Linked DNA regions of Tribolium castaneum. The protein of the gene in region 1 purifies or fractionates together with the protein of each later gene. This does not show direct contact. Links are inferred from orthologs where the notes say so. Each region holds a gene or a part of one and is shown on either strand. Other genes may lie near its edges.

The links.
Region 2: the proteins of CSN8 (region 1) and mahj purify together in Homo sapiens (affinity purification with mass spectrometry; 4 studies listed by BioGRID and IntAct, counting the BioPlex papers as one, with this or other methods). This does not show direct contact. The link is inferred for Tribolium castaneum from reciprocal best matches to the Homo sapiens genes COPS8 and DCAF1.

The regions. Positions count from the first base shown.
Region 1 is NC_087398.1:6,313,297-6,316,229, reverse strand, and holds CSN8 (COP9 signalosome complex subunit 8), read right to left. Parts: upstream 1,421-2,933; 5' UTR 1,294-1,420; coding exon 1,237-1,293; intron 1,170-1,236; coding exon 1,099-1,169; intron 1,050-1,098; coding exon 868-1,049; intron 816-867; coding exon 565-815; 3' UTR 510-564; downstream 1-509. Other genes in the region: RabGGTa (geranylgeranyl transferase type-2 subunit alpha), read right to left, coding at 1-134, 183-185; pcm (5'-3' exoribonuclease 1), read right to left, coding at 1,935-2,018, 2,065-2,337, 2,385-2,510, 2,557-2,763, 2,815-2,933. UniProt on the Homo sapiens protein: Component of the COP9 signalosome complex (CSN), a complex involved in various cellular and developmental processes.
Region 2 is NC_087398.1:985,938-990,326, forward strand, and holds the start of mahj (protein mahjong), read right to left. Parts: upstream 3,069-4,389; 5' UTR 2,801-3,068; coding exon 2,688-2,800; intron 2,642-2,687; coding exon 2,491-2,641; intron 2,440-2,490; coding exon 2,302-2,439; intron 2,254-2,301; coding exon 2,126-2,253; intron 2,080-2,125; coding exon 1,904-2,079; intron 1,853-1,903; coding exon 1,776-1,852; intron 1,728-1,775; coding exon 1,192-1,727; intron 1,125-1,191; coding exon 986-1,124; intron 936-985; coding exon 437-935; intron 386-436; coding exon 276-385; intron 230-275; coding exon 1-229. Other genes in the region: nuclear migration protein nudC, read left to right, coding at 3,377-3,460, 3,511-3,588, 3,636-3,974; uncharacterized protein LOC656652, read right to left, coding at 4,285-4,310, 4,363-4,389. UniProt on the Homo sapiens protein: Acts both as a substrate recognition component of E3 ubiquitin-protein ligase complexes and as an atypical serine/threonine-protein kinase, playing key roles in various processes such as cell cycle, telomerase regulation and histone modification.

The DNA.
Region 1 (2,933 bases):
GGATCATAATTCTCCTTATTTCTCGTCGACAAGATCTGCTTCATTCCCATGCGATAAGCTACCAGTTTCTTCTGCTGCTCTTTCTGCTTTTGCAGCTTCTGTTCTTCGCTAGTGCGAACTTTGATCCTTCCATGCTGGAAAGGAATCGATTAGCAGTGCCTTTGGACGACCGAATGCTTTACCATTTTTGCGTTAAATTGGAAAATAAAATAAAAAATAAATTTTGGCCACCCAATGACACAAACGTCAAGCGTTTTTAACCTCAAATCCCAGGCGAGTTGTCAAATTGACAGGCTATTTGGCGGTTTTTATGAATTTTGTTCATTTCGTTTCGCTCGATTGAGGCCCCCATGGTGAAGCTGGAGCCATTTAGTCGCGTGTGAAAACTGACTGCGTGTAGGGCGACGCCTGTGGATTATTTTATATCTGAAGGTGTCACCCGTTATTTTAGGAAATTGTTTGGCATTACACCAAGTGGTTCTGCATTGTGTCAATTAAATGAGAAGGAATTTACTGAAATATTTATATTAGCTTACAATTAACTTATAAAAACAAAAATACAATTCAATTTTCGAGAAATGATACAAAATCTGTCAGTTTATACAATTGATCTTCACTACTTGTCTGGCCAGAAGTTTGTGGGGTTGGTCTAACGGGGTGAACCATCCTAGTGTCGGCTTCCACTTGCCAGCCCCTCTCCACACAAGCCGTTGCACAAATGTCTGGGGGCAAGCCCGTCATTGCAGAAACAGTGTCTAATGTTATTGAAGAATACGCTTGTGCTATTAAATCTACTGATCTATTTCTCACTCTGTCTGTAAAACGCAATCATTAGTGGTGTTTAGAGTGATCCAATTAGCAAGAAACCTTGAACTTGTTTCATAATATTCGCCACACCGTCGGACCATGTTACCGCGTTCAGAGCCTTGTAAATCCCCGGGAAGTCCCTCTTCCACATATGCTGGGCCACGGCCCAGATGTTGTTTAGCTCAGGAGTGGACGACTTCACCGAAGCCGGGATGCGTTTCCATAAATATTTTGCATTGCATCTACAACTAGCCTTAGCGGCAATACCGAACCAAAACCGGCGATACTTACAAGTCGTTTTCGTATAAATATATAGCTAGGAGTTGTTCGTAAACTTGAGGTGATGCTATACCGTTCTGTGCCTGAAAAAACGCCAAATTTGTAAAAAATTGGAAGTTTGAGGTTATATCTCTCGATGATGACTCTTACTTCTAACTCTTGCTTCTCTAAGTCTTCTGCTAATTTTTCAATGTTACTAGAAACCATTTTGTGAGGAGTTCTTTATAATTTGGTTTTAACAAATGTCTCGTTTTAAAATCATACACATTTTTTATTTACGAGTGCGAACAACCAACTGACCAAAACCCGACTGCGCCGGAAATGCACGAACGCTGCCGACGCCCGCGAAAAACGTCGCCATTTTTTTTAATTTCAAAAAATTCACAAAAGATCTAATGCCTAATTAGGTAATCACGTTTTCATCGAATTAATTTGAATAATAAAGCCCGAGTTTGTGTTTTATGAATTTATAAAATATCAAACACCACCCACTGTCGTTTCATTCCATGATGATAACCGGTCAATGTAAACCGCCCTTTATATGGACAAAAAATTAAAAAAGTTAAAATTCAAATATATTAATTAAAATAGCAATCTATCAATGTGTTCGTTAAATTTTTGACCACATTTTTGCTTGGTATCAGCAGCACAAAGGTAATGAAAGTCCACAGGCAAAGAAGGATGTGTATATTTACAGCATGAAAGCGTATATACACTCAAAAACCACATGTTTTGTTCAAGTTTTGTCCATAAATATTTCTTTAAAAAGGAATAGTTCAATCAACCTAAAGTGGAGGAAATTAAGACGGAACAAAATGTATTTTAATTCAGTCCATTAGTTCTTAAAATTACTGATTGAATCTAGCTGCAATTCTAGTTTTCCTCTGCTTTGCTGATTTATCCCGCCGGTCATTTCGCTCCAACTCACATGCCTGTAACAAGTCAGTCAACTTAAATTATCCCCATTGCAAGTTTCACCTTCGAGATTCCAGCGTTTTGGCTGTTACTTGAAACATCAGTTTTTTCTTGTTTTTTCCGCGGTGAATTTTCATTAACATTCTTATTCCCAGTGTTAAGATTCTTATTCCCATGAGTTTGCTTCTTTTTTAACGCTTGAAGCGGCACGAAATTGTGTGCTTTCGCACTCGTGTGCGGATTTCGACTAAAATTAGACTCGGGGTCCCTTCTACTGTAGTCCGTTTGGTGCGGGGGCGGCATTCTCTGATGCTGACTATGTCCACCCTGTTTGAACTTAAAATAAAAGATTTCGGCGTTTCTTTGACGATTTAGAGTGGTACCTGGTACGACTTATTCACAAAAACTTGGGATGGCATTTTGTTTTGTTGTTGGCGGTCTTGGACCCACTTGGTTGGGGGCACGGGAAATTCGGACGGAAGGCCCGTTTTTGCTGGCTTAGAACTCTTCTAGGAACATACTTTTAGTTTTATTATTTTTACGTAAAAATCTTACATTTTTTAGCATGTTTAAGGCATCTAGCGCCACATTTTCACTCGCTTCTTCCCGAGATTTTGCGGTTTTTCCCGATATGGATTTACCGCTAGGTAGAACAACTTGTGCAGCATATCCGTTGTTTTGTTCGAGGTAAAAATACCTCGGACAACCCCAAGCGTTTGACTGATAATAGCTTAATAAATTAGCGGTAGCGCTCGCCGCAGTCTAACAATTACATAAGCAGTGGAATTTTAATCGCAAAAATTGGTTATTTACCCCCATTTCCGGCTTTCGACTTGATGAAGTTGAACAATTTTGAACCGGCACATTTAATTTCGGATTACTCGATTTCTCGACATTATTATCAATGTTTAAAATCCGTTTTAAGAAATCAG
Region 2 (4,389 bases), about 5.3 Mb from region 1:
CAGTTTCCGACCGTGCTAAGCCGGCCAATGCTTTACAAGCCAAAGTTCGTATACAGTCCGCATCAGTGATTGGTGTTTTAATATTCATTAATTGCAACAAAACCATAATACCACTATTAGACCTGACACAATCCCAAACTCTCTGAATCAATTCTTCGCTACTTTTGAGTTTAATTTTCTTAATTGGGCTGTTAACCGTGGCCGAATATCGGGTTAAAGTACCACCAACCTAACAAAAAAATCAAACAAACGTCTGGAAACGGTAAAAAACGTACCCTATTTATGGGGGCACACACACAATTGACAATGACTCGAAGCGCAGCCTTTTGTACATCAGCATCGGCCACTATTTCACCCTCAGCGGCCCCCAAAATAATATTAATCCCTACAGAAGAAAAAAACAATAAAAAATCCCAAAACTGTGATTTTCTCGTACCAACTGTGGCACTCTCCTCTGGCAATTCCACCCTATCACAAAATAACAATTGAACTTTAGGCATCACACACGCAATAGCCAACGTATCCAAAGCCGACCTGACCGTCTCAGCCCTCCCACTATAATTCCACTCATACGCAAACGCGATTATTTTCAACAAGAGTGTGATTCCCCCTAATTTGAGTAACTGATCAACTGGCGTCCAATGGCACCGAAACGGCATATATTGCAACAACGTTTCGACGTTCTGTTGCACCTCTTCAGGCGATGACTTGTACGGTTTGTAGCTCGGCTGCGCCGGTAAAGGCGGCTGTGCCATTTTTTCGTTAAGTCTAAGTTGTGATCTTTTAATTGGTTCTACTTTTAGGTTTAGATGAGCTTCAAGGTAACGACGGTATGCAACACAAACGTGGCGAACGATTTGACGAGCGGCGCACTCTTGATCTTCGTTTAGTTGAGTCGTATCGGTGTCCGGCAGTAAAATTGATAAAGTAGAAATCTGTACATATAACTCTAGCAAACAATTTTTTTTACTTGGGATAAACTTACCACATTGTGTAACTTTCGTAACCCATCATGAGCATCAAATTCCTCCAAAATCACTTTGAATTGAAACGTGAGACCGAAAAACATTATAGCATGACATCGGCCCGAATCGTGTGAGCATTCCAAAAGCCATAAAGCATACCTAAGATTTTTTTTAAATTATGAGTTTTAATTGATTTTACAAACTGTAAGGTATAACTTAGACTTACTTGACTAAACTGGTGATCATGTATTTCGGAAGCAGACAAACCCTCTCCATTGCCTCCTCACAATACCCCAAATAGTACAAACAAATCGAGACCCCAGTGGCTGATATTGACGGCCTTGGCACCTCCAGAAGTGCCTCAAGACCATCCATTTGAATAAACTCAATCGAGAATTTTTTGTGGCATAAAAGAGCAGCAAGATATTTCAAGGCTTCAAATGCAAGTCTTGCTTCTTTAGTCGCTCGGACATTCACATACTTTAAGACCAAACTAAGAGCGTCATTTTCGAAAACATGACTCAAAAACTCCTGATATTCACCCAACGGTGTCAAATAACGTAAAATGAGTATTTGACGCGTTGCTATAGTTGGCGGAAAAATTTGCACGGTTCCAATCATAAAACTTTCAAGCTCTGCCCACGACGAATTGCTCGTTTCGTTAAATAGGAAGGGTTTTTGAGGAGAGCCTTCATCAGCTTCGCTTGAATTGTGCTCCAGCTTTAGTTTTTTGCGTTTTTGGCCGCTTTCCGAATCTGATAACTGTATTAAACGTGAGACCATATCACGAGGAGGAAAAGGCGCGCTTACCTCACTAGTGTTAATCACATCAGTGTTTTCTTTATTAAGTGTTGTTTTCGAATTTGGAATAACTCCATTCTCGCGGGCTGTAAGAATAATTATTGAAGGGTAAAATACAATAGGGTGTCGTTACGTACGCCTTTTAATACCAGAGGGTGAAACTTTTACGACACCGTCACCGCGATAAGGGGGCGACTTCATTGAAGATAAGTGTGCAAAAGGTCGAGTATTTGTCGTGGTCAAAAATTCCGAGGAATTTTGAAGCCTACGCAGTCTTTGAAGTAGTAAAGGCACAAGTCGTCCGTTTTGTTCCCTATTTTTTGGTAATTAACTGCGATAAGACCAAAGCGGAAACTTACCTAAAACGTGTGGCAATTTCTGGAATTTCCATTGCAGCAGCTAAAAGCCCCGTTGCGTAACTTTGCAGAGGTTCTATTGAATTTGTAGTCCATTTAATTAAACGGTGAATCAAATTATCCATATCGGGCTGAAACTAGTCGTTAGTTTTCCCCCCAAAAAAATAATTGACACGTACTTGAAACACCACTGATGTCTCTAAGCCAGGCATTACGTCTAGCATCAACCTACAAGCTGCAATATTCAACTGATCAACATCCTTGTCTGTGATTCCTGACCGAGAGTAGTACGTTTCTCTCAAATAATCGTTAACAAGCTGAAAAAATATTTATGTGTGTCTTTTTATGTTTTTGTGGAGAGTTAATACTTTGTTCATAAAAATATCCTTCCTAAAAAGCGCTTTTAAAATTTGGCCAAGTTTGCAGTCAGGATCAGTTCGTGAAGGGTGGCGTTCATCAAATGGGTCAGGATCCATTTTCAGGTAATTTTCAGTCTCCACCTCGCATATTTCGGCCAATCTGCCAACAAAAGGGTAAGAATTTGCCAAATTAAGGCAAGATCTACCTGGTGAGTGTCTGAATGGGGTCATAATTAGGCGCCGTATGTTCATCTTCCCAGTTTCTTATCAGAGTTGTGACTTCTGACATAACAGAAGTCGAATTGCTGTTTTCCGACATTATTGGCTCAAAACGTTATAAAATAAAGGGCATGAGGTAGTTTAACATAACCTAAAATACTTTACAGTTCCGTAATTGCAAGGTGAGATAATTAGGACACCGGGAGACTGGCAAAAACAATGCGATAATGTGAACTCTACACTTCTGGCTTGTAAAAAATCGTAATCAGTTTGATTATTTCACAAATTGGCGCAATACACATTCACAAAGCGCAAAACACAATTCTTGGCTTCCATTGAAAAATCGAGCACGTATGTTACTAAAAAAGTGCCGCCAATGGTACAAAAAAAAAACAGAGCTAAAATAAACCCTTGGGAAATTTAACGAATAGGAAATAAGCTTCGCACTATCGAAATATACACCCCCTTTGCATGTTTTAATTTTAATTTGAGGGTGGTCCCCGTTTGGCTAAAATTCCCACATTCGGTTGACCCATCAATGTTGGTACAAGCACCGTTTTTGGAAGTTTTCACGCCGATTGGTTTGGTTGGTACAATTGATATTTGGTCGATAGAAGAAAAGTCTAGCAATTTCCACGATTTTTGACCATTTTTTCACGAAAAAAGTCCAGTCAAGATGAGTGGCGATGATAATCAGACTGAGCAATTCGATTCCCTCTTCCTGTCAATAGCCCAGCACCATCCGCACGGCGCTTCGCAGGTGAGCCTCGATCTGTTTACTCTAACCTTAAAATCACGACAAAACTGTAGTTATTGGACACTTTTGTGAGTTTTCTAAGCCGCAAGACGGATTTTTTCACCGGGGGCGAGGAAGGAGCATGGGAAAAGGTAGTCCGGGGTAAAGCCAGTTCGAAAAATAATGACCTGGTTTTTAGTTAGTAATGAGCACATTTAGGAAATACGAACAAGTTAGTCGTAAGAAACACGAGACGGAGTTAAAAGAGCGTCGGGAACGTGAAGCCGCCAAAAAGAAGAAACAGCAAGAAGAGGAGAAGGTAAAACCGGCGGAAATCACCGAATTGACTGATGCTGAGGCTGAAAAGTTGCAAGCCGAGTTAGATGCTAAGAAAAGTGGGGTGAGTAATGGGGCCCCAGCTGTTGAGAAAATTGAAGAGGATGAGGATGCCTCAGAGATTGGGAAATTGAAGCCAAACAGTGGCAATGGATGTGATTTGGACAAGTACAGGTGGACGCAGACTCTCCAAGACGTTGAGGTAAGTCTTAGTTTTGTAGAAAATTTATTTGTATAATTTAATTAAAAATCAATTTACAAGATTTCCAAGGAGGTTCGGGACCTGCCTTAAAATTGTTCATAAATACTATACAATGCTGTAATGATTGCTTTTACATATCACAGTAACATCAAAAAATACTTATGGATAGCTTATGATTTAGAACAACCACAATTTTGGTCCAGTTGCTAAACCTAATTAAATAGGGAATTAAATAACTAACTACGATAAGTGCGCACGACATTTCAATGCTTCGTCAATTTTTGGAGAAATGTCGATGCTTGTCCTAATCCTAGTACCGTTGTCTTTTCGCCCTCACTGAAACAATAAAAAATTGGAAATTGGCTGAAATGAAAGCGGAAGAACTTACTTTCTAAGAGAAATATCGCCGCCAAGA